6 linked regions of the Mus musculus genome follow. The protein of the gene in region 2 interacts with the protein of the main gene of each other region in a pairwise test. Links are inferred from orthologs where the notes say so. Each region holds a gene or a part of one and is shown on either strand. Other genes may lie near its edges.

What was found.
Region 1: the proteins of Ccnd3 (region 2) and Rbl2 interact in a two-hybrid assay, tested with the Homo sapiens proteins (2 studies listed by BioGRID). The link is inferred for Mus musculus from reciprocal best matches to the Homo sapiens genes CCND3 and RBL2.
Region 3: the proteins of Ccnd3 (region 2) and Crabp2 interact in binary tests that used the Homo sapiens proteins (3 or more experiments, as listed by UniProt). The link is inferred for Mus musculus from reciprocal best matches to the Homo sapiens genes CCND3 and CRABP2.
Region 4: the proteins of Ccnd3 (region 2) and Eif3k interact in a two-hybrid assay, tested with the Homo sapiens proteins (2 studies listed by BioGRID and IntAct). The link is inferred for Mus musculus from reciprocal best matches to the Homo sapiens genes CCND3 and EIF3K.
Region 5: the proteins of Ccnd3 (region 2) and Atf5 interact in a two-hybrid assay, tested with the Homo sapiens proteins (2 studies listed by BioGRID and IntAct). The link is inferred for Mus musculus from reciprocal best matches to the Homo sapiens genes CCND3 and ATF5.
Region 6: the proteins of Ccnd3 (region 2) and Vdr interact in a two-hybrid assay, tested with the Homo sapiens proteins (2 studies listed by BioGRID and IntAct). The link is inferred for Mus musculus from reciprocal best matches to the Homo sapiens genes CCND3 and VDR.

Annotation. Positions count from the first base shown.
Region 1 is NC_000074.6:91,068,764-91,072,856, reverse strand, and holds the start of Rbl2 (retinoblastoma-like protein 2), read right to left. Parts: upstream 2,801-4,093; 5' UTR 2,682-2,800; coding exon 2,451-2,681; intron 1-2,450. UniProt on the Homo sapiens protein: Key regulator of entry into cell division. Directly involved in heterochromatin formation by maintaining overall chromatin structure and, in particular, that of constitutive heterochromatin by stabilizing histone methylation.
Region 2 is NC_000083.6:47,592,020-47,596,266, reverse strand, and holds the start of Ccnd3 (G1/S-specific cyclin-D3), read right to left. Parts: upstream 2,801-4,247; 5' UTR 2,613-2,800; coding exon 2,415-2,612; intron 1,972-2,414; exon of another isoform or gene 1,942-1,971; coding exon of another isoform or gene 1,888-1,941; exon of another isoform or gene 1,868-1,887; coding exon of another isoform or gene 1,862-1,867; intron 1,534-1,861; coding exon 1,318-1,533; intron 194-1,317; exon of another isoform or gene 52-193; intron 1-51. UniProt on the Homo sapiens protein: Regulatory component of the cyclin D3-CDK4 (DC) complex that phosphorylates and inhibits members of the retinoblastoma (RB) protein family including RB1 and regulates the cell-cycle during G(1)/S transition.
Region 3 is NC_000069.6:87,947,271-87,951,492, forward strand, and holds the start of Crabp2 (cellular retinoic acid-binding protein 2), read left to right. Parts: upstream 1-1,422; 5' UTR 1,423-1,570; coding exon 1,571-1,640; intron 1,641-4,222. UniProt on the Homo sapiens protein: Transports retinoic acid to the nucleus. Regulates the access of retinoic acid to the nuclear retinoic acid receptors.
Region 4 is NC_000073.6:28,979,089-28,983,285, reverse strand, and holds the start of Eif3k (eukaryotic translation initiation factor 3 subunit K), read left to right. Parts: upstream 1-1,397; 5' UTR 1,398-1,553; coding exon 1,554-1,612; intron 1,613-2,743; coding exon 2,744-2,842; exon of another isoform or gene 2,843-2,967; intron 2,968-4,197. Other genes in the region: Map4k1 (mitogen-activated protein kinase kinase kinase kinase 1), read right to left, coding at 14-71, 232-330. UniProt on the Homo sapiens protein: Component of the eukaryotic translation initiation factor 3 (eIF-3) complex, which is required for several steps in the initiation of protein synthesis.
Region 5 is NC_000073.6:44,812,859-44,817,132, forward strand, and holds the start of Atf5 (cyclic AMP-dependent transcription factor ATF-5), read right to left. Parts: upstream 2,801-4,274; 5' UTR 2,624-2,800; intron 2,425-2,623; 5' UTR 2,309-2,424; coding exon 2,131-2,308; intron 663-2,130; coding exon 1-662.
Region 6 is NC_000081.6:97,866,797-97,870,296, forward strand, and holds part of Vdr (vitamin D3 receptor), read right to left. Parts: intron 3,035-3,500; coding exon 2,850-3,034; intron 2,628-2,849; coding exon 2,522-2,627; intron 493-2,521; coding exon 321-492; intron 1-320.

The sequences.
Region 1 (4,093 bases), on a different chromosome or scaffold from region 2:
CTCATATAACTCCCCTCCTTCGCTCCCCCCCAAAAAACCCAAACCAAACCCAAACAAACAAACAAAAAAAAAATGGGTGGAAGTGGGGAGAAGAGATATTTCTAATTCACAGTCCATGGCCATGGAACTCAAGTAGATCTGCCTTGGCCACATATTAGAGAGCTCACCATGGGCAAACTACTTAAGTCCAGAGGTTTCATTTTCTTCATTGACAACAGTGAGAATTAAATAAACTACAAGAATTCAGAATATGGGGCTGGAGAGATGGCTCAGTGGTTAAGAGCAGTGACTGCTCTCCCAGAGGTCTCTGTTTTCGTTCCCAGTACCCATGTGGTGGCACTTCACCGAATAATGCCAGATCCAGGGGCTCTGACACCCTCTTCTGACCTCTTTAGGTTCCAAGCCTGCATTTTGGTACATAGTCATACATGTGGGCAAAGCATTTATTTGCATAAAATAAAATTTTCAAATCGATTTCAGGAAAACAGTTGAGAGAATTCTAAAGCAGATGGTAAGTATTAATGATCAAGTGTGCTTTATTTCCTCTGTATGTTTTCAGACAACTGCTGGTCTACATTACTTATTCTCCAGTATTCCTGACCGGAAACTCATGCATCAGGGAGTTTTAGGTTTCACCCACTGCTTTCTTCCCAGTACCTAGAAAACCTATGGCAAGAGATAGGGGCTCAGGAAATACTCCAAAATGAACAAGTATTCGTGCCAGTATAGGGCTGTCCTAGATGTGCTAAGATAGACACCATGACTAAAAGCAACTTGGGGAGGAAAGGGTTACAGGCTATCATTGGGAGCTCCAGGCAGGAACTGGGAGGCAAGAGCTGAAACAGCTAATGAGGCCTCCCTTATACAGTCCAGGACCAGGAGGGGCAGCATAGCCCACTGTGGGCGACATCAATTAGCAACTAAGAGCATGCCCCACAGGCATGCCCACCATCCATCTGATGATAGAGCATGCCCACCGTCCATCTGATGATAGAGCATGCCCCACAGGCATGCCCACCTCCATGCCCCACAGGCATGCCCACCATCCATCTGATGGAGGTGACTCCTCAGATGAGGCCTCCCCATTCCCAGGTGTGTCAAGTTGACAACTGAAGCTATGGCAAGGGTCAACTGGGCTAAGAATCGAGATTAAAACCTCACTAACCAATCCAAATAAGACATAAATAATAAACAAACAAATAAATAGAACGCCTCAGCCAAACAAGAAATAGTGACTATGTTTTCAAAACGATTTACTAGTCGAGCTGGCAAGGCTGAGCAGGTAAAGGCACTAGCTGACCAACAGATTTAACAGACTTGCAGTGATCCACGGGTGAAAAGATAGACTGACTCCCCAAAGCCGTCCTCTGACCAACACACACACACACACACACACACACACACACACACACACACACACACACTAATTTACTAAGCATCTGTTAAATGCCACTTGCATATGTGACACCAGGCTTCATATGACTTAGTCTGTGATTTGAAGTCTCTGCTATGTTATAATACTCATTCTTGCTAATTTACAGCGTCATCTCTAAGGTGAAGTAAGAATTCGTTTGGGAGTATTTGTGTCCTTCAAACCAGAAGTTCTCCTCTTTGCCTGGCTATCGGAAACACTGGGTAAGGAAGGCGGCTACGGTCTCTTCAGCCAGACTGCTTCAGTCTAGGAAATTTTCTGCACACATACACACATTGCTTTAGTTAAGCTTTAGGTAAGCACTTTGAAGTGGGCACAAGTAACAAAACTGCTCACACAACATAACTGAGTTTCACTGTGGTTAAAAACTTGTCCAGAGTCACTCAGACACAGGTCTAAAGCTGCCATGTTTCTTTTTTTTGTGAGTGTAACAAATGGAGAGAGGGGAATTCGATGTGTGTCGATTTTTAAAAAAATAGAAATAAACCGACTCAGAAGAATGGCACAAGTACATCCATATCATAGTTAAATAACACCTTGCTTAGCCTTCGGGTCGGGGGCCTCTTTGCTCTGCTACTTCGATAAGCTTCCATATATAAAATCAAAGGGTCATACGCACAGGCAGCTGAAAAACAATCCGGACTTCCGTGTCACTTCCCATTGGCCCATACAGGGGAGGTGCCTGCAGAGTTGACAGGCACTAGCCCGAATAGCCATTTTCGTCAACTGCAAAGCCCCGTCCCAAGAACGGAACATAACAAGCCTACACCTGGATGACAGCCAAAAAGAGTGCCCAAGTTCAGCAACAAATGTTGTGTGTCTACACCCGCTTTTCATCTGCCCGGGGGGTGGGGGACAATAAATCCTAAGCCATTCTCACACGTAAGCAAGCCTGAAACTTAATGAGTTTCCTCTGACGGCCGCAAAGCCAGGGGGAGGCAATGGTGCGGGGCAAACGACCAAGTGATCCTAGGGCCACCCCGAGTCCCCGATCTCCACGGAGGATCTGAGCACGCACCTCCAGCGTGTAGCTCTCGCTCATGCTGCGGTAGCTGCTCCAGGCCTCGGCGCGCGCCGCCTCGTCCATGTTGAGGCGGCTGCACAGCTCCTCGAACCGCTGCTGGATCTGATGGCTCGGGGACCCCGCGGGCTGCGCGCGATCCGCGGCGTCGCCATCCTCCTCCTCTTCCTCCGAGCTGGCTGCAGCAGCTGGAGGAGGCGGTGGCGACTGGTTGCCTCCAGATGCCATGGCGCACCCCGAGGCCGCGGCTCTTCAGATGCGCTCAGGGCCCGGGCCCGCAGCCATTCAAACCGCGAAGCGCCGGCCCGTCAGCAGCCTGTCCTGCTACTGTGCCGCCCCCAAAGTTCCTCAGTCCCATGCGGGCACCCGTAGGTCTGAGCACGGCCTGCTGGGAAATGTAGTCTCGGCCGGGATCTCAGGGAGACCAAAAGTCATGGAAGAAGAAAGCAAAAAACGAGCTGTGCATCATTTAGGGGTGAATGGACACGTCCTCTACCGTTTTAAAAAGCATCTCTCAATAGTGAGACCATTCAGAAGGCTCGTTTGAAGAGAAAAAGACCAAGAAATATCGACAGGATTTAGTATATAAGCCCTTTACACACATCCTCACCTAGAGGTCCTCAGATAGTAAAGCTAAAAGGTCCAAAGTAAAGATAATAGTTTGCCTGCCCTTTCTAGTCTCTGTTGCTGAGATAAACACGGACTGTAACCAACTCGGAGAGGAAAGGGCTTATTTCATTTTAGTCTTTACAGTTCATCATTGACGGAGGTTAAAGCAGGACGCTGCTTACTGACTTAGCTCCCCGTTGCTTTATCAGCTACTTTCTTAATACAACGCCACCCCCGCGGCCGCCACCTCCCTAGGCAAGACCCACAGGTCAATCCAACAGAGAGGATTCCTCAAGTGACACTCCTATGTCAACGCTATCAATGGCAAAGGTATATTGAGCTAAGAATTGATCTCACTTCACCAAACAAAAACAAAATAAAAAACCCTCAACCCTCAACCCTCAATCACACAAATAATCATGAATGTGTTTTCAAGAATAACTTAAAATGTATATTAGCTATCACATAACTGCTCCTAGATACGGCTAAAGTTTCTTACAGATAAAAGGAAGAGCGTAGAGCAGGGACATCTGAGTGAGTCCAGAGTGGACATGACCCTGAGCCACCTGAGGGAGGAGAGTGCGGGGAGGGGGCGCGGGAGGTGAAGGGAGAGAGGGGAGAGAGGGGAACCAGGTGCAGCAGCTAGAAGGCCCAAAGGTACACCGAGCTAGAAACTAAAATGTCTGGATTATATAGGAAAGCACAGCCCACCCCTTGAGCTGGAGAGTTTTGGGTAGGGGGCTGGCTATGGTAACAGGTAGAGGTTGAGGGCTACCAGGAGAACAGAGCAGCCAGGTCCTCTTTGATATGTTAAATAGGCACCTCAGCCTTTTGTCCCCGGGCTTGAAACTTTCCTATATTTATGATTTGAGGTGTTAAAGCTACCGAATCTCTAACTAAGCTTAGATATGAAGGGAATTTCAAAGAATTTGCTCACGGAAAAGAAACTTTTAAGGCACATTGCATGGGCTTAAGTGGTGAAGAGAATCTAGTGGAGATAAACACATTGATTGAAAAGGGCTGGGGAGATT
Region 2 (4,247 bases):
CACAGCCATGTAGACCACCCTTAATCTCTTCACAAAGAGTAAGTCTCCTACCTCCCAGCCTCAATCCCTCAAAAACATCGTGCTCCCTGGCTCTGGAAACTAGATTCATCACAAAGAGCTGTGGGGCCTCCCGGATTCCCAACTCAGGCCTCCCATCCGTGAGAGCTGCTTGACAGGAAGAGGAATCCAGTTCCCCGACTCACAGCAGTCAGGGGCCCCAGTACCCTAGCTTCCCAGCCAGCCAATCACAGGAGTCTGCCTGCTGCCCTCCTCCCTAGGAGATGGGGCCCAGAGACTCCTCTCAGGGTCAGAGAAGGCTTGGCCAGCCACAGAACAAGGTGGAGGGAGGTGCCAGCTCACCCACCCTCTCCCCCAGACCCTGTGGGAGATGACGTTCAAGCTCCCTTCCAGATCCAAGCAGATCCACCTCCTCCCTAGACTCCTCCGGGGCAGGGCAGAACCCAACCGATTTTTTTTTTTTTTTTTTTTTTTTTTTGCCCCGCCTGGAGGAGCCCAGCCCAAGTTCCCAGCAAGAGGCCCCAAGGAGCCACTTCCCAAACCACAGGAGTGACAGCAGCTCCCCACAGGGTTATGAAAGCCCTTGGTCTGAGTGGGAGGGCCAGGGGACCGGCATCATTATCACATCGGAAGCAGCTGCAGCTCAGCTCCCTGTCTGTCTCGGCTCTGGCCTTTGGCTGAGCAGCAAAGGGAGAAACTCTTCCACGGGCCCAGAGCAGCTGCTCGAGTTTTTCAGAAGGAAGACAAGAAAGGGAGGGTTTAGAAAAGAGCGGTGTCTTCGGGGATAGGAGGGAAAGGGATGAAAACACCTCAGCGCTTCCTTCCAGCGAGCAGGGCCTGGCTTTAATCAGCTCCGGGAGGCTTTTCCATCACAAAGTCCACACGGGGATAAAGGCTCATGCAAGGCAGCCCCCTCCCCCACGTGAAGCACATTCCACTCCGGTGGGGGTGTGCAGACATGCCCTGCTGCTGCCAATAAATAACTCACGGTGGCTGTGTAAACCCAGAGGCAAAGTACTGGTGTATAGACCCGCAATTGGACTTGTTGCTATTGGGGGGGGGGGGGGCGAGTTAGGAGTGGAACCCCACTGCGGCCAGAGGAAAGGGATTCATTTAGTTTTAAGCTTGCAACCGAAGCACCACGACCACACTACAAGGCCTTTGTCCCAAAATACCAGCCAGGGGCGAAGGGAGGGTTGGTGGGTGAGGGAGTGAGCTTGGCTTTTCTTTTACTAGTACATAGGGCGATCGTATGTTTGGTGGAGGGGCGGGGGGGGGGGGGGAGGATTCCGCACGCACCCGCAACTGCCATGGAGCCACAGCCTGGTCCGTATAGATGCAAAGCTTCTCAATAGTCAGGGGCGTGGTTTCGCGCAGCTTGGAGGCCAGCAACAGGCAGACGGTACCTAGAAGCTGCAATTGCGCCTTTCGGGTGGGGACGCAGGACAGGTAGCGATCCAGGTAGTTCATAGCCAGAGGGAAGACATCCTCCTCGCAGCGCTGCTCCTCACACACCTGAGGGAGGGCGCACGAGTCATTGCTAGGGAAGGACCAAGTGAAACACGGCAGCGTGGAGAAGTGGGGGTGGGGGGTGGAGGGAGAGTGGAATGCGAAGCAAAAAATAAACCGAGAAGGGATAAACTTAGAGCGACAAGTATCAATAACCGAGGAGGATGTGCCCTCCCCAAGGTGACCCCCCCACTTCCTCTGCATGGTCTCTTCCCCACCCCGGAGTAGGGGGTGTAAAAGAGAAGCCCATGCTCACGAAGGATTCCAGACTCCCCTCCCCCACGGCGAGCGGAAGGGGGACGGAAGGGTCACCTAGAGAGAATTGGGACCTTACCCTCATTACCGCCACCCACTGCACACACACTCCCAGGGGGAAGGGAGGGAACTCCTGCCGCGGTCTCCCGCACTTTTCATTTCCCTGTGGACCGGAACCGAGCCTGCGCCACCCCCACCCACCAGTTTCCCCCGCCAGAACCCCGCGATAGACACAGGAACCAGTTCTGGGGCTAAGGCGGCCGAGGCCAGGGTTTTCCAAACGCGCCCTCCAGAGAGCACCGGGTGAAGAAGGAAGCAGGAGACACCGAGGAAAGCCACTGGGGAAAGAGTGGCCCTTAGCCCGCTTTCCCGACCCAAAGTGAAGTTTAGTTACAGTGCCAAGTGACTGGAAATCACAGAAGAAGCCGATCAGGATTGGGGAAAGGAAAGGGACAGAACGCAGGCAGCTGCTTAGGGCGCCTGTGTGAAAAGGCCAGGCCCCAGTAGTCTGGGCCGCCAAAGCATCTTGCAGATTGTGGTCGGGATCGCAAAGATCCGACAGGGAAAGTTCAATTTGTCCCAGAGCCGGGGGTGGGGGTGGGGTGAGGAGAGGGGACCCGTTCGGGCCTTACCTCCAGCATCCAGTATGCCAGCATCTTCCGCATGTGCGGCTTGATCTCCTTTTGCACGCACTGGAAGTAGGAGGCTCGCGGCACGTAGCGCTCCTCCAGGCGGAGTAAACTCTGCAGGACACGCTGGTCCCCAAGCAGCCGCGGGTCGGGCCCGGCCCGGGGCGCGTGCCGGGTGCCCTCGCAACACAGCAGCTCCATCCTGCGATGGCTCACGGGTGAGAGCAAGAGTGCGGGTTAGCGAGTCCTAGGAGAAGCGACGCGCGTGAGGGAGAGCGCGGGGTGCGGGCGGGTCTGGCGCTGGCGCTGGCACTGTGCGGAGAAGCCCCAGCCCGCCCGCCACCCGCGCGCACCGCTTCCCTGACAGGCGCCCCGCCCCTCGCGACGATGTAGCAACCGTGGAATGCTCCTACGTCACAACGTTCTAAGGGGCGGGGCCGCAGTCGGAAAGGGCTGGCGGGCGCTATACCCTCCCTCCCTCCCCGCAGCCCCATTGGTCCGCTGGGCTCCGGCCCGCACGCTTCCGGGCCCTCGGGTCCCTTCTGACCAAGAGGGTAGAGAGAACTTTCTGGAAGGGTGCCCTCTTCCCCATCAATGGGCCCCGTCGCGATTCTAGCCACCCAGGAAAGAACTAGGCGCCAAAAGTTATTCCTTCGTGTATACGTCATATTTCATTGCTCTAGGGAATGTGGTCATAACTTTGTACATAGTTGGGTCACTCCTACCCTAAAGTGGCTTCTAGGAATGGCCTCGAGTTGGGCTTTATTTTGCAGACCATGATACTGAGGCACAATAGTAGCTGCAAAGATCTCATTGTTGGTCCGTCGGGAAACTTGACTTAGAATCTCGTCTACTTTAACGAATTGCGCAGATCTGCAGCAGCATCTGGGAGCATGTAGTTTCTGTCCGATTCAATGGCTCAGAGGGTAAACTATCCTGGCATCAAGTCTGGCAACCTGAGTGTGATCCCTGGGACCCACATGATGGAAGAGAAGAGAGCAACTCCCATAAGCTGTCCTCTGACTTCTACACCAAGGCTGTATGTAGCATGTGCGCACACACCTTCATGCACATACACAACGAAAATAAAAAGCAAAAGAAGAAATGCAGTTTCTCAGGTCTGCTGAATGGGACACTGCGTTGCACCAACGGAGGTGTGAGCAGTGTTGGTCAAAATCAGCATATAAAAAGCCATTTGGTGCTGGCTGTGGTGGAGCAAGCCAGTAATCTCAGACCCAGGGAAGTGTTGGCTTAACACCAGGATCCACTATCCACTATACAGACAATTCAAGGCCTGCCTAGAGTCTCTCTCTCTCTCTCTCTCTCTCTCTCCACACACACACACACACACACACACACACACACACACACACACACGGTGGCAGGGGGTGGGCTGCAGATATATCTCAGGTGGTAGAGCTCTTGCTTAGCATGCTCAGAGCCCAGGGCTCAATCCCCAGCACTGCAGAACCCAGAAACGATCAGAAGATTAAGGTCACTGTCTGCTTCCTAATGAGTTCAGGAGCAGCCTGGGCTATATAAGATTTTATCACAAAACCAAGCAAACCAAATGATAATAGCCCATGGAGAATTCCAGGCCAGCCAGACCCATGTCAGATGACTCAAATAACAAGGAAGGAAGGAAGGAAGGAAGGAAGGAAGGAAGGAAGGAAGACAGGCATGACAGAGCACCCCTTTAATCCCAGCACTTTGAAGACAGAGGCAAGCAGATTTCTTTGAGTTCAAAGCCAGCCTAGTCTAAATAAGAGTTCTAGGTCAGGAGGAGCTAATATCATGAGACTATGTCTCAAAAACAAAAATCAAGGGAAAAAAGGA
Region 3 (4,222 bases), on a different chromosome or scaffold from region 2:
ACTCAGGCCGACTTGTCCCACTCCCTTCTGAGTGTTGGTGGTGGGGTGGGGGGTGGGGAGAGCGGCGATCCAGAGGCCCTTCTGAGAGGCAGCCTTCCTCCCTCATCCTCTCAAGTTTTCCACACCCCATTATTCGGGATTGCCTCGATGAAGACCTGACTCGAGTGACACTGTCTGGCCTCTGAGTGAGGTTAATCCTTCAGGCCCTGTCCTCAGCTCAGTTCCACTCCCCAACCAAAGCCTGCCAAGTCCCCAGTTCACCAGGTCAGGGCTGCCTGTTCCAACCTTGGCCACCTAGATGAGAAGGGGCCAGGCAGGGACCTTGTTTGAGATCCTGAGGGGACTACGGGGATAGCCCCGGGAGACTGAGGGCGAATGCCAAAGAAAGGGCAAACACTTGTAGCTCCAGCACAGAGCAACGTTGTTTCTGGCTTTGGGTTACCCGCGTGCCTCCGAGGCCGCTCCTGTCCTTTCTGCTGTCTCGCTGTCTTTCCACTAGGGTTTCACCCACGTAAAAATCAGCCTCGGAGAGGCTGATTCACCGCACTTTCAGCTCTAGATAGGGACGTCTCAGACCCACCCCCTCCCCACACAGTCAGCCTTCCCCCAACCCCGGAGGCAACGCGGCAAGCCGCGGGGTGGGGGTGGGGGGTGGTGGGGGGCGCTTGGCGTCTTTCTCCCCCTCCTTGTGGCCCAGGGGGCCCAGGGAAGCGTAGCCACCGAGAAAGCGCCTTAATAAAAGAGTCGTGTCAAGTGATTGGCTGTGACCTCTGCCCTTCTAGCCTCGAGCCGGGGGCTCCTGCTTAACCCTTCATTGTCCGTCCAGGGCTTGGAGAGGAATGAATGAGTTGCCTTGTGCTCACTTCAGGCGTCCCCAGGCACTACTTGAACCCAGAGCTGAGTCAAGGGGTGGAGGACAGAGCAGCACCTCCCTGTCACCCAAAAGAACGCTTGAATTCCGAGCTGTTTCATTGAGTCCATTTCGACTGCCGGTTGCCGGGGGGGGGGGGGGGGGACAATTCTTGCGCTAGTGGGGTCTCCGGATGCCTGGAGCTGAGCTGTCCAGAGCACCAAATCTGGTAGAGAACTACTAGGGAACTGGTGAAACGGGACCTGTGTTCGCCCTGCAGGCCGAGAGAGCATCCGTGACCCAGGCGAGAGCCGTGCCCTGTTCTTGCCAGAGGCACAAACCCCGTTCTTGCCTTCTGACGCTTCTCGGTCCGCCTACTGATGCGGGAGAAGGGTATCTTGGCTCTTGGAGAACCCTGGACCCACCCACATTTCTAGAAACAGGAGGGATTCCGGAAAGGATGGGGGTGAAGTGGTCACAGAGCAGGGCCCCCAGGTGGTGTGGAAGGCGGGGCGGGGGCGGGGCCGCCTCATGCACCAGCTGGGTATAAAAGCCTAGAGCTCTGGCGCCCAGCGGCTGTGCAATTGTCCTCCACGCGGCTTGGTCCCCAGGTGGAAGGATCTGTTCTGCAAAGGAGACAGCAAAGTATCTTTAGCCTAAAGGACTCAGCGTCCAGTGTTCTAGTTGAAGATCTAAAGAGAAAGCCACCTTGCTGCCACTATGCCTAACTTTTCTGGCAACTGGAAGATCATCCGATCGGAAAACTTTGAGGAAATGCTAAAAGCTCTGGGTAAGGAGGTTTTCGTGAGTTGGGAAGGGAGGACAAGAAGGGCGCTGGGGTCTTTAGAGCAGAGGCCGAATAAACGGAAGGGGGCCGAATCAGGGAATGTACCTGGGAGCCTGCATCCTAGGAAAGGGGCGTGCCGGATACCCTGGGTCCTGGGGCACCAGGCCCAAGACTCTTAAATCCTACTTTCTGAGGCTGGGCGCCCACCAGTGCCAGCTTCAACGGTGACTCAGAGCCTGTGAAGCAAGTAGAAACCAGAAGCACGAGGTTAGTCTCAGGAGGGGTTGGCTAGCCTCGGCGCCTGGACCTGCTGACCAGGGCACCTGGCTCTGAGCTTTAAGAATCCAGAATCCAGGCAGGGAGCCCCTAGGAGACATTCCAAGATCTTTCCGCGTACCCTAACAGTAACCCAATCCAGGCGACAGGTCCATTATCCTCAACACTTGGCTCCGCCCACCAGGTGGTCCACCACTTCAGCTCCCCGACCCTCCCCCACACCTTGCACTTCCCACTCCAGTCTCCCCACCCCACCCCACCCCACCCCACCCCCACCTGTGAGACATATTTTCCTACAGCAACCGGCTCCCAAGCCCTAAAATCGCTCTGGACAATTACCACTTTCTTAGATTTCAACAAATGTCCTCGTGTGAAACACCAATCCCCATTTCCGAAAGTCTAGGATTGCCTCCCTCCTCGCCACAGACCAGCTGCACCCTGCGCAACTGGGCTGTTAGCCAAGGGTGGGAACACAGGAACCACCCAGACTTTCCCTACCCACCTTCTACTACCCTCTAGGATGCGACTGAGCTAGAAGGTATAGGAAAGGAGAGACATCTGCGGAGAGATGCAGTTAACCGCCCCAGGGAGTGGAAACTACCCCAGAGCCTAAGGGTCAGCATGCCTTCCATTTCTGCACTGGAGAGGAGCCCTGTGGTGGGGAGCAGGGGATACCCTTGAGGAGCTAGGGACTGTATAAGAGTGAGTCTGGAGCTAAAAAGAATGTTGCGAGGGCAGTAGGGCCTCTGTTCTCATCTTTCCTCGCTGTTCATTCTCTTTGTGTCAGCTAACCGCAATGATCCTTAGAGTCATACCCAGTTTTCTTGCTCCGCCCTTGCGAAATTAAAGATCAGAGAATAGAAATTTTCAGAAAAATCTATTGCTGTCTCCTCCCTCATTCGCTCTAAATTCTGGCCCCTCTCTGCAGTGGATGTGGGAGCCTGGCATCACCCCCACCCCCACCCCGGGTTCCAGCTGCAGAGAAAGGCCCAATCCTACAGTCTGCCTTCAGAATGTTTGTCCTCCCCGCAGGGTCTCTCTGAGCCACGCGACTTGCTAGGGGGTAGATTGCAAACAGACCCGTTGTTACACAAACTGCCTGTGTCAGCCAAGGTCAGCTGAGCCAGGACCCCAGCTCTGCAGACTGAGGGAGGCGGGGTTCTCCTTAACACAGCCTCCAGAGACGCCACAGGGTCTGCGTTCAGGGTCCATGTTGTGGGAGAGTTCAGGGCTCATCATGATAATCAGGGCAAACACAGCAGGTCTTTCGGTTAGGACTGGGTGAGTCCACTTTGGGGCTAAATGAAGTGTCAGTTTTCTTCTCAGGAACCCAGAGCTATGGAATGCATGAGTATTTGTGTGTATATATGGGGGTGGCGGGGAGGGGGGTTGCACGGTGGCAGTGGCTTGTCCCCTGTAGCACCTTGAAGGGCCAGTTCTTCACCTCATCAGGCTTGGAAAGGTGGGGGTGGATCCTCCTGTTGGTGGCAGAGGGTTGCTCTCCTTCATTTACAGAGCCCTCTGTAAATGAAATGGGGGCAGGGAAGGGAAAGTATATGAATGAGGACACAGAGACTCTAAATACACAGAAGCTGAGCTGGATGGCCCTTGGATGATTCTTGGAGCTAGGGACATCAGAGGGGAGGCAAAACACTCCCATCTCTTCCCCTTCCCTTCCCTTCTTTCTTTCTTCCTTTCTTTCTCTCTTTCTTTCTTTCTTCTTTTTCCTTTTTTCTTTTTTTTGGTTTTTCGACACAGGGTTTCTCTGTATAGTCCTGGCTGTCCTGGAACTCACTCTGTAGACCAGGCTGGCCTCGAACTCAGAAATCCGCCTGCCTCTGCCTCCCAAGTGCTGAGATTAAAGGCGTGTGCCACCATGCCCAGCTCCCTTCCCTCCTTTCAAGACAGCAGAATTTTCCTTTGAAAGAGACCTGGAAATATTACAGAGAGCAGTCTGGCACAGGAAACTTTGTCCAAACCTAGTTTCGTTTGGCTTTTCTTTTTTTATTTGCATATATTACCTGCATGTAATAATGGGTTTCACTATGTTCTGGCTTGTTTTTTGTTTTTCTCATGGTTTTTTGAGTCAGGGTTTCTCTGTGTAGTTCTGGCTGTTCTGGAATGCACTCTATAGAGCAGGTTGGTGAGTTTGAACTCAGAGATCCATCCCCCCTGCCTCTGCCTCCCAAAAAAGGGTGTACACCACCATGCCCTGCTATGTTGCGGCTCTTTCATCCATTGTACTTGCTTTTATTTAAAAAAAAAAGTTTCTAGAAACTATGAATGTGCACTTGGCCTTGTGTGTCCCC
Region 4 (4,197 bases), on a different chromosome or scaffold from region 2:
GGGGTGCTCTCACCAGGCTCCATCTTCACCATCTTCAAAGCCACCAGGTCCTTAGACACCTTGTCGCGAGCCTTGTAAAGGGGAAGTTGGTCATCAGGCAGACTCCATAGCTTGCCATCCTCAGCATCTCTGAACCAAGGCCAAGGCCTGGCATTCTCTTACACTCCTGCTTGCCAGCCTCTCCCCAACTATCCCAGGGTTGTGGTGGAGGAGACAGAAGGGCTTTCTCACCTTGAATACTTCTCCATAAGTTCCACCACCCAGTCGTTGCAGTAGATCATAGTGTTCTCGAGGGTCCTTATTAAAAATGTCGGGGTCCACAAGGGCCATTCCTGGAGGCCGGGGCTGGGCCAGTGCCCAGGGGGCCAACAGGGCCTCAGGGTTCAAGCTTTGGTATTACCTTCTGTCTCCACACAAGTCCTGGGCCCGCCTTGACTCTGTGGGCTGTGGCCTTCCCCCTCCCCACTCTCGCTTCCTGCCCCAGCTGCAGGGCTGTGCAGAGGGCTGCACAGAGGGCTCCACCCCCGTCCCCTGGGTTCTGAGAGTTTGATCGCCTTGGGACCCATGGGACTCCCCTTTACCCACTGAAGGACACTATGTAAATAAGATGCAAAAGTTCTTAAATGCAACCTGGGGCTGACCTAGCACCCTCTCCCCAACACTCTATTTTGGGAGGAGTCATAGGTTACGGTTGAACCTCTGCTGGGTTCTTGAAGATCTGGAATCAAGCCAGAGGTTGCAGGTCTGCACAAAGCTGGCTAGGTTTCACAGAAGACCTGTTTACTCGTGACACATGCATGTGACTTAAGTGACAGCTGAGCTCAGGGCACCTGCCCGCATGGCACATGTCTGTGCAACGCTTCAAACGTGTAGGGAATCTGTGGCAGACGTGGAACACTTGTTAGTAGCCCCTACGCAGAGCCGATGGAGACTACAGGTGTCTTTTGCCTTCCCGGCCTCCTAACAGCACTGTAGCAGTACGGAACCGAGTGGGGACCAGCGAGGAAGTGAAGATACATACAAGATGCTGTCTCAGGCACCCAAGTCGGAGACAAGAAGGGCTTCAGAGAGCATCTCCCACCCGACTAAACTCAAAGAAAAGGAAACAGCAACCCTTCACGGGGCTAAACGCTTAAGGCTACGCATGCGTAGAGAAAATAAAGTCTCCTTTCCCCGTACAACTCCAGCGCACGCGCGTCAGAAGCTTAAGTACTAAGTTTGCGCGGCCCGGGAAAAGCTTAGCCCGCCTCCTGGCGCCTGCGTAGTAAGGCAGACTAAACCTTTTCTCACGCTATTGGTCTCTTTTAAGTGAGCTCATTGCGCATGCGCAAGTTACAACTGCTGGAAGGAAATCACGTGGTAGACAAAAAAAAAAAAAAAAAAAAACAACCGGCGCTGGTGCTGAAAGCGCCTTTCCCTTTGCCTTCCTTGTAGGAGCTGGAGGGAGGGTGTGACGCAGGTTCCGCTTCCTACACCTCTCTTCCGGTCCTCTAGTGCTAAGCACCGTGCCTGGTGTTCGACTCCAGCTGAGGCTGCCGAAGGCAACAGTGATCATGGCGATGTTTGAGCAGATGAGAGCGAACGTGGGCAAGTTGCTCAAGGGTATCGACAGGTCTGAATTCCGCTGAAGGGCGCTCTCTGGCCAAGCGGGGTGGAGAAGACGGGGAGCCAGCCAGGGGTGGCCAGGGCTCCACGCTCCTCCAGAGATGGAGTTTCTCCAAGTTTCTCTCCGTCCCTCAACTTTACCTTTTCTGCTGCCACAGACTCCCGGTGTCTTTTAGTCTCTTCCTTCTCTGTCCTTGTGGACCATCCTACATAGTGTTTTCTGATGTCTATTTGGCCAGTGGGGACCGGAGGTGATGGAAACGGGAACCGGTCCTGCGTTCCTGGACTTAGGTTCCCATTCCATCCTGGCGACAACCCCATTCAGCAGATAGTGACAATAAGGAGCGATCAGGGCCTGGTCAGGTCAAGCCACGTATTGAGATAGGCAGGAGAGGATGGAACTGGGTCAGAACGGGATCGAAGAGAAGGTGTTCAGGAAAACATACGGGCTGCAGAGACTGACTGAGGTTGGAGGCATCCTAGACATGACCAGGGGCTCAAGTAGGGCTAGCTAGAGGCCCATGTTAGGAAAAACATTTACTGGATGTTGTACAGTTAATTGATCAGCTATCTGGGTAGTTCCAGTGGGTGGGACTAACTTATTTATTTTAAGATCGAATGAATGTAATAAAGCTTCCTACAGATTTATTTAAAAAGAAAATAGCAAAGTGAGGAATATCCCATGGCCAGAATAAAAGCTGTAGGAAGAAGAGAGTGATTTCAGGTTAACAAATTACAGTGGTCCCTAAGGACTAGCCTCTGTTCTTCTCTTTGTTTACTCATGTCTGTCTGTGTAGTTATCTCCCTATCTTCCCCCCCCCTTTTTTTGTTTGTTTGTTTGTTTGTTTTTTGAGACAGGGTTTCTCTGTGTAGCCCTGGCTGTCCTGGAACTCACTCTGTAGACTAGGCTGGTCTCGAACTCAGAAATCCGCCTGCCTCTGCCTCCCAAGTGCTGGGACTAAAGGCGTGCGCCACCACTGCTCGGCTCCCTTTTTCCTTTTGAGACAGGTTTTCACTATTAATTGCAGACTAGCTTCAAACTTGCAATCCTCCTGTCCTGCCTCAGCCTCCTAGGTGCTGGGATGAAAGGCATGTAACCACTGTGCCAGGCTGTTCACCCATCTTGATGCTCTTCCAGGTACAATCCTGAGAACTTGGCTACCCTGGAGCGATATGTGGAGACACAAGCCAAAGAGAATGCCTATGATCTGGAGGCCAACCTGGCCGTCCTGAAACTGTGAGTGTCTGTCCCCACCCTCATACGAACAGCTGCCTAGCAGGAAGCCACTCTGGAGAGGGAACCTGGTGCAGAGGGGCCTGGGGCAAGCTGCAAGATGGGACTTCTCTTCGGTGTTTTAGAAGGTCAGATTAGGAGTTTTTGTTTTGTTTTTGTCTTTTTTATTTTATTTTATTTATTTATTTATTTATTTATTTATTATATGTAAGTACATTCAGACACTCCAGAAGAGGGCATCAGATTTTGTTAAGGATGGTTGTGAGCCACCACGTGGTTGCTGGGATTTGAACTCAGGACCTTTGGAAGAGCAGTCGGTGCTCTTAACCACTGAGCCATCTCACCAGCCCTGTTTTTGTCTTTAATCCATTCCAAAATCATACAAGATGGTCAATAAACAGTTGTGTTGCTAGACAGATTATTGTAAATGAAAATTCATTTTGTTAGTTTCACTGCCTCTTGGCTCACATGCTTTGCCCCATCAACCCCCCAGCTTAGGTAATCACTGTTGAGCCCTTATGGCCTAGCCTTGGGTCCCTTGAGTCAGCTTAGGTCAGGCCTGCTTTCTTTTTTTTTTTTTTTTTTTTTTTAAACAGTAGCTGGGCTTTTTTTTTTTTTTTTTTTAAAGATTTATTTATTATATGTAAGTACACTGTAGCTGACTTCAGACAATCCAGACGAGGGCGTCAGATCTTGTTACAGATGGCTGTGAGCCACCATGTGGTTGCTGGGATTTGAACTCCAGACCTTTAGAAGAGCAGTCGGGTGCTCTTACCCACTGAGCCATCTCACCAGCCCAGGCCTGCTTTCTTTTGAGCTCCGCTGTAATCACATAGCGCAAGCTTTTCTACACCAGAGATCTTCCTCTCGGCCCTGGGTTGGTGGCAGCCTTTTTCCTTGTTTCTTTTGCCCATATTCATGAGTGTGTGTGTGTGTGTGTGTGTGTGTGTGTGTGTGTGTGTGTGTGTAGGGGCTGTGTGTGCACACATGCGTGTGGAGCCTTGAGGTTGATAGCAGGCACCAGTCATTCTTCCACCTTATTCAGAGTCAAGGCCTCATTAAGCCCAGAATCCACCAACACAGCTTGTCTTGCTAACCAGCTTGCTCTTGGGATCCTCTGTTCACACCTCAGAGACCGAGTTCGAGACAGGCTGGCATGCCTACCTGGCATAAACATTTATTTTATTCTTTTTAATTCGTTTTGTTTTATGAGTGTGAGTTTTAAGTGTGGAGGTCCAAGGACAACTCGGAGCAGTCAATCTCGCTTTCCACCATTTTGTTTTGTTAAGTCCTGCCACTTACGATGTAGACCAGGGTAGCTTTGAGACTAACGGCGTGGGGCACCATGTCCAGCACTT
Region 5 (4,274 bases), on a different chromosome or scaffold from region 2:
GGTCCTCTGGCTTCGGGCCTTATACACCTCAATTAGCAGGTCCTTCACGTACTGGATCTCCCGCTCCACTGACTCAGCCCTCTCCCTCAGCTCCCGGTTCCGGGCCTCCAGCCCCTGGCACTCGCCCTCCAGGGCCTCGCCCTCTGCCCGCTTCCTCTGGCGGTACCTGAGAGCAGCTGACTTATTCTGGTCTCTCTTCTTTTGCTTGCGGTCCCCTCGTGTGCTGGCAGGACTAGGATAAGGGGCTGGGCGGGCGGGTGAAGGCAGAGGGGCCAGAGGAGGAGGCTGCTGTGGGACAGGCAGGGTTGACAAGCCTGAATCCCCCGGCCCGGCCTCACTGCGGCAGTAAACAGCCAGCAGGTCCAAGGTATCCAGGGTAGGAGGCTGAGGGAGGTCAAAGGTGGGCAAGGGCAAGGGCAGGGGCAGAGAGGGTGCTGCTGCTGGTGGTGGAGGTGGTGGTGGGGAGGGCGGTGGGAGAAGTGGGGCATCAAGGAAGAAGTCTTCCATCTGTTCCAGCTCCTTCTTGAGTAGGGATGCCATGGCTTCCAGGTCAGGGGGGGCCGGGGAGGGTGGGGGGAGAGTGCCTGGGGGCAGAGGGGCCTCCAGAGGAAGGAGAGCTGTGAAGTCCACCCGCTCAGTCATCCAATCAGAGAAGCCGTCACCTGAGGATGGAGGGGGACATAAAAGTCCCTGAGGACTGTGCTTTATCCACTTCGGTGTTCACTCATGTCCCATTCATTAAATGTGACAAGTGACCAGCCAGCCAACCATCAAATCTATAGGCCCATCAATAGACCAATAAGTCAGGGAAGAAACCAATCAAGCAATCAACCAACCAGCTAGCTAGTTTACCCTTCAAGCTACTAGCCAATGAACTAACCAACCAACCAACCAATCAACCAGTCAGCCAGCCATAGGATTTACTAGCTAACCAGCCAACCAGGCAATCATACCACTCAGCAGCCAACCAACCAACAAATTCATTAATCTATGAACAAGCCAGTCAGTCAATCAGCCAACCATAGTTTACAATCAACAAACAGACCCACTAACAATGAATGAGGCAACCAACCAACCAATCAGCCAATCATATAGTTCAGTAGCCAACCAAGTAACCCAGAAAGTAAGCAGTGAACCAGTGAACCAGAGTTCACCAGCCAACAATCAACTAAACCACCATGTAACCAATGACCCAGCCAACCAGCCAATCACCCATCAGTTCACCAGGCCACCTGCCAATGAACTAATCAACTCACCAACCAATCAGTGAACAAGCCAATCAATGATTCAAATCAATCAGCCAACCACTCAGTGAAGCAGTCACCCAACTAACGGTCCACCCAACAAAGGTCTGCTCCCACGTCTGTAATCCTGCTCTGTGGCTGCTTGACTGCACCCCATACCTATGTCTTCTCTCCTTTCCTTGCTTGTTCAGTTATTATTGGTGATAGAGACTTGTGTAGACTAGGCTGGCCTTGGACCTGCTTTGTAGTCCGTGGCTGAGGACAACCTTAAACATCTGACTCTCCCAGAGTGCTAGGACTATTCACCACTCTCTCTCCTCCCTTTCCTGCACGTGTGTGTGTGTGTGTGTGTGTGTGTGTGTGTGTGTATGACTCGCTCCATCTTTATTTGTTCTCCTTTTCCATTTCTGAGATGTTTGAGAATTACGTTCTTGCTATGCTGCCTAGGCTGGCCTGACCTCAAGAGGCTGAGAAGCCCCTTGAACAGGGGGAGCTGAGGGCATGTGCCACCAGGCGCAGTCTGGGACAACCATCTGTTACATAGTCAAAAGAGACTGTGCCCCAGGATCTCTGAGATGGAGCCCCCTTCCACCTTATCATGGCTCCTTCTCCCCATCCCTCAGCCCTCAGTTCAGATGTCATCTACTTAGAGGGGCTGACTTCTCAACTATGTCTTTCATCACTGTCCACTAAGCTTTGGTCTCCCACTTCTGTCTCCTGATGCACCCATGAGCTTAGGGATCCCTTGCTCGGAACCCTGCAGACCTAGAACAGTGTTGGGCACACTGCAGGCCCTCAGTACTGATCTTGTGAAGGAATAAATTCTTCCTTTTCTGTCCACCCCCACCCCCAGCTCAACCCACCTCTCTTCTTAACCTGTTCTTACCTGCCAGGGGCTCTCCCCCCCCTGGAAGCCCGCCCTCCAGGGCACCCCCAAGGACCTCATAGGGGCCCAGGGGGGCAGGGGCCAGGGGGAGTTTCCCATAGTCTACGAGCCAGCCCAGCCCGCTAGCTGGGAGCAGGGCCCTGTCCAGCTCCAGTCCCAGGGTCGCCAGGAGTGACATGGCTGTGACACAGGCACAGGGCAGCGACGGCAATGGAGGCTGCACCAACAATTGGGAGGCAGCGTGGAAGATTGTTCAGCTGGGTGAAGACAGGCACCAAGGCGAAGGTGGAGGACCTGTGAGGACAAGGGGACGTGGGTGGGATTGAGTCAAAGCGGCTTGACCCACAGGCTACACAGTTTCCTTCTTTCCGAAAATTTCAGCGCTCCACACATTCCCAGGGACATTATTGGAAACTCCCCTGCCCCATCTCCTCCCTCAACACAGAAACCTAGTGTTTTCCCAGGGGAATTACCTCTAGTCCCTCCTACCCACCTCATCTTATTCCTCTTCATAAAAATTTCAATCCCAAGGGAATTTCCTTCTAGCCGTGCCCCTTCCGCATCATTAGACTATACCCCCTTTAATCCACAGGGGTTCCCAGAATAATTCTGCATGCCTGGGCCCTTCATCAGTGTCACACACACAGATCCCGCTCTTCCCTTAAAAATTTTGGTGACTTCTAAAGATTCTACGGGAAGCTCCGCCCACCCTTCTGTCTGTCACAGTCAGTTCCCGTCCCCCACTAGCAAGTCCCTAGAGGCCCCGCCCCTGTAGTGCTAGTGCTAACTCTTTCTTAAAGGTGTTCCTAAAGCCTTTCCTGTCAGTTTAAGCCAGTCCCCGCCCCAGCAGGTGTCTGATTGGAGGGAAGTTGGGCCTGAGTCGGAGCCTCAAGCAAAACCCCACCCTTCCTCGCTGCTGGCTCGACTAGCGACGAGGCGCAAGCTCAGTCCCAGGACCCGATCCATTGTTACGCCACTACCCTCCTGGGGGACCAGTGCGCGTGTTTAGCCAATGACCGGCCGCCCGCCGTAGTTCAGGCCGGGGGTGGAGGGGTGGGGGGGTGGGGGAATAAGACAATGCGCATGCGCAACAGGTTGTGGGGTTGTCTCCTTGGAGGAAAAGGGGCAGAGGGTCTGTGAATTAGCGCGCAGGCGCAACGGCGCGCGAGCCGACCTTAAAAGCCCCCAAATTCTCCGGAAGCACGCCCTCCTCCTCCCCGCCCCTCGCAACTCGAGCCTAGTGCGCTTGCTCAGCGGATGCGCCGGCCGCCAGCTTCCCTCTTCTGCGCCTGCGCGACCGTGGTTCCTCACTTCGTCTCCCCCGCCCCCACCACGAGGCTGACCCGTGAAGCCCCGCGAGCTCTGAAAGGGCGGGAAAGGCAGTTGGCGAGGGAGGGGCGAGCGGTTACTCACTCCATGGCGGCGAAAAGGCGAGGAGGCAACGGCGGCGGCGGCCTCGGCTGAAGAGACGGTGTGAGCGGAGAGTGAAGGCGCGGTGAGCGCGGAGACGGGGGCGGGGGACACGACGGGGTCGCGGCTACAGAGCCATTGCGCGGGCGGAGGCGGCGTGGCGGGAGCGTTAAGGGAGACTGTGCTGAGAGGGTTGAAAATGAGGCGGCCCCGGGGCCTGGGGACAAATATACCGGGGGCGGCGCAGCGCGGGCTTGCCTGGATCCCTCCGCGCCCCGCCCTCGCGCGGCCCCGACGGGGCGGTGGCGACCCCGGGCCCGCCATGTCGCCCTGACCCTCCACTCTCTGCTTCAGGCTGGGGGCCCGGGCTCGGTCTCCTGAATCGGTCAGATCCGATGTGTCTTTCACACCCGAAACCAGCTCGTCTCGTTCTCTCTCCCTGCTTCACGAATTTGCCACCCGAGACCTCGTGGGTTAAGCCCATCGCCGAATGGCGCAAGCTAGCTTAGGCTTCATAGAGGAGTTCCAGGCAGCAACCGCGAGATAACGCTTCCCAAGTACTTGTAGAGCGCTGTATACGCGCACAGATATATCAGCTATGGAAAGTAGGCCACGAAGTCCTAACCACGAGACTCTTCAACATATTTTTGTTTGTTTTGTTTTAACATTTATTGTGGTGGTCAGAGGAGAGCTAGCAGGAGTTGGTTCTCTGACCATGTGAGTCCCAGGGACGG
Region 6 (3,500 bases), on a different chromosome or scaffold from region 2:
CCAGCTTCGTTCGAGGAGCTGGGAGTCCTTGGGCTGGTTCTGATGTCATAAAAAGATCTTAGGTGGCCATGAGACCCTGGTGGGATTTCATTTCATCCTCCGGGAAGCGAGCAGTAGAGCTCCTGTCAGGACTGGCTCTCAACACAACTGTGGGCAGCTACATGTAAGAACGTATATCCTGGCCTTGTCCAGGGGTTCCCGTTGGGCACTCTGGGGCAGGCCTGAGGCTGTGTGTGGAGGAAGCAGTAGAAATGAGCCAAGCACCTTCCAGGCCCGTAGGGGATTCTGACAGCCCCCCCCCCCCTGCCAGAGCTTCTTACCTGAAGCCAGGGATCATCTTGGCAAAGCCGATGACCTTTTGGATGCTGTAACTGACAAGATCAGCCAGGTGGGGCAGCATGGAGAGCGGAGACAGGTCCAGGGTCACAGAGGGGTCATCGGAGCCTTCTTCATTCAGATCCATCGTGGAAAAGCTGGCCGGTTCCATCATGTCTGGGGATGAGGAGGAAAGAGGCAGAGAGCTATTTAAGGACACCCAGGCAGGGCCCTCCTGTGAGAACCTTGTGTGCCTTAGAGGATCCAATGGTGACTGCCCTTTCCCAGGGTCTGTTCCTCTCCGGACTCCCTCTGGGTCTCTCCCCATCTCTTTAGCTGTTTGAGGCAGTAAATTCAAGGAACCAGAGATACTCAGGAAAAATATCCTTCTTAGCTATAACTTTGCAAAGTATGGACTTCCTATTATTCTCAGTGTTAAAATGTGTTTGGGACCTTTCCACCCGTGGAGCAACACACTCCCCTTTATCATGATCAAGGAACTACAAGGTAGAGGATATCTGCATTTTGCCAACTATACCCTGGAAGTAAATATAAACTCCATGCTGGCATTTGTAAAGATTAAAGCATCAAAAACTCCTGCAGTGATGGATGCTCTTGAAGACGGATAGTTGTGCAGGTAATCTAAAAAGCAATTTGAAACTTGGTGTGAAAAGCCTCTAGTTGCTGGGTGTGGTCGTGTATGCCTCTAACCTTAGTTCTCGAGAGGTGGAGATGAGAGGGATGGATGGACTGGACTCTGACTGTGGACTGTTAAAGCCTTTGTTGTTGTTGTTTTGTGTTTTTAGACAGAGTCTTAATTTATATCCCTGGCTGACCTGGAACTCACTATGTAAACTAGGGTGGCCTTGAACTCACCGGGATCTGCCTCCTGCCTCTAGCACCTGGGTGCAGTGATTGTATGCTCCACCCCACACTCACACAACCATGCACATGAATGCGCACCCACAAACCCACAAAGAGTTTCTTTGGTGCTTCAATCTTCACAAATACTAGCATCAAGTTTATATTTGGTTCCAATGTCTAGTTGGAAAAATGCAGATATTCTTGTACTTACTTGATTATGACAAAAGGGACCTTTTCATCCCATGGGTTGAGGGGTCCCAAACACACACACAGGAGAGAGAAACAGAGAGAGAGAGAGAGAGAGAGAGAGAGAGAGAGAGAGAGAAAGACAGAGAGAGACAGAGAGAGAGACAGAGAGAGAGAGACAGAGAGAGAGAGACAGAGAGAGAGAGACAGAGAGAGAGACAGAGAGAGACAGAGAGAGAGACAGAGAGACAGAGACAGACAGAGAGGGGAAGAGAGAAAGAGAGATGATGATTCACAGTTAAGTGTAGAGTAATCCCAGTTCCATGCATTCATTATAAGAAAAAAAATGGAATAAATATTTACCCAAGAGAAAAATTAAAAGACTAGGAGCCAATCTAGATATCCGACAGCAGGGAATTTTCACTTGTTACTATATGTCACAATACTCTTCAGTCTCCTAAAACTTTAGTTTTAAGTTTTAAAAATTTTAGTGTGTGTGTGTGTGCTTGTGTGCCCATGCACACACACTCACGCACATGTGTGTACATGAGTCTAGAGGTCTAGTATCTGAAGGCTATAATCACCCAGAGTGGGGGTTCCACCCTCACCTTCTTCCAGGCCCCAAGAGGAGGACACTAGGGCTGGTTGAGAGGTAGAAGGGAGGGGCAGGGCAGAACGAGGAAGGACGGATGATGCAGGATGACAGACATGAATGTATAAGGGGGCCGAAAGCACAGTGTGCCATGCTCTCAGGAGTAGCAGGCGACAAGTTGTCCAAAGCCGTGATGTTTAGTTCCCCAGTGTTCAGGCCCTTCCCACATCATAGGTCACCTCCCTCCATCAATTTCACCCTCCAAAGAGTCCAGGAGCAAAACATTGAATATTGACCTCCAGAGAGGAAGTCAAGGGTAGGGTCTGGCTCAGAGGCTGAGCGTGACTCAAGAAGGCCCATCTATACAGCCAGAACCTCAGCTTGGTCTCTTCCCAGCATGCATACCGCACAGCCAACCCCCTTTCTGTGAAAGAGGAACTGTATGGAGGACCCTGTGCCACACACAGTATGGAAATGGGAGATTTCCATCACTTCCCCTATAGCCTCAGGGCGAGTGGGCCCGAACACCCACAAGCCTGTTTTCTTGATAGTCGTGCTCCTTACCCAGTGAGGGGGTGTACAGATCAGAGTTTGAGGAGGAGTCTCCGGAGAAGCTGAGTGTGGGCCTTGGAGAATAGCTCCCTGTACTTACGTCTGCACGAATTGGAGGCTGGAAGGCAAAGATGGGTTGTCTTTGGCAAAGAGGTCCCTATTTGAGGGCCCCTCTCCTGCCTCTGAGGGCAAAGGTCTGCAGGGAGAGAGGAAGGGCTCGCCGTGGGCAGCACAGCCTCCGAACCTTCCCTGGGTCCCAACCTTCTAGCCCTGCTCCCCGTGCCTGGGCTATACCTGATTCTCCACTAGCCTGGTTCAAGCCACAGGCTGGCAGACGTACCCGGAAGTCCCGGAAGTCGGCATAGGTGGGGTCGTAGGTCTTGTGGTGGGCATCGAGCAGGATGGCGATAATGTGCTGTTGCTCCTCAGACAGCTTGGGCCTCAGACTGTCCTTCAAGGCCTCTTCCTCCTTCCTCTTCATGATCATCTCTCGCTTACGCTGCACCTCCTCATCTGTGAGGATGACTGCGGGGGCAAGAAAGCGAGTCCAGAGTCACGGCCCAAAACTTACAGGAACCCTTCCTCCACTACAAAAGGGCCAGGACGGCTCCTTACACTGCGGCTCCTGGGGACCCAGCTGCCATGTTAGCGCCGATGCCTTATCATGGAGACAACCCGGTTTTCTACAGCGAAAGGGCGGGTGTGTGCAGGAGAAGAGGGTATGAGAGGAACAATGTAGGTACTTGGAAGGCAAGATCCTCAAGGACCAGTTGTGTGACCTTGGAGAAACAACAGAGTTTCTGGGCTTTTTTTTTTTTTTTTTTCTCTTGCTCGTAAAAAAGGAGCAGTTTAGAGCATATGGTCTCATCCGAGCTCTGTCTTTCTCTCGCTCTCTTACTCTCTTTAACACTGGGAGGGAACTTTTTTTCTTTCTTTCAAAGACTCATTTATTTTTATTTATATGAGTACACTGTAGCTGTCTTCAGACACA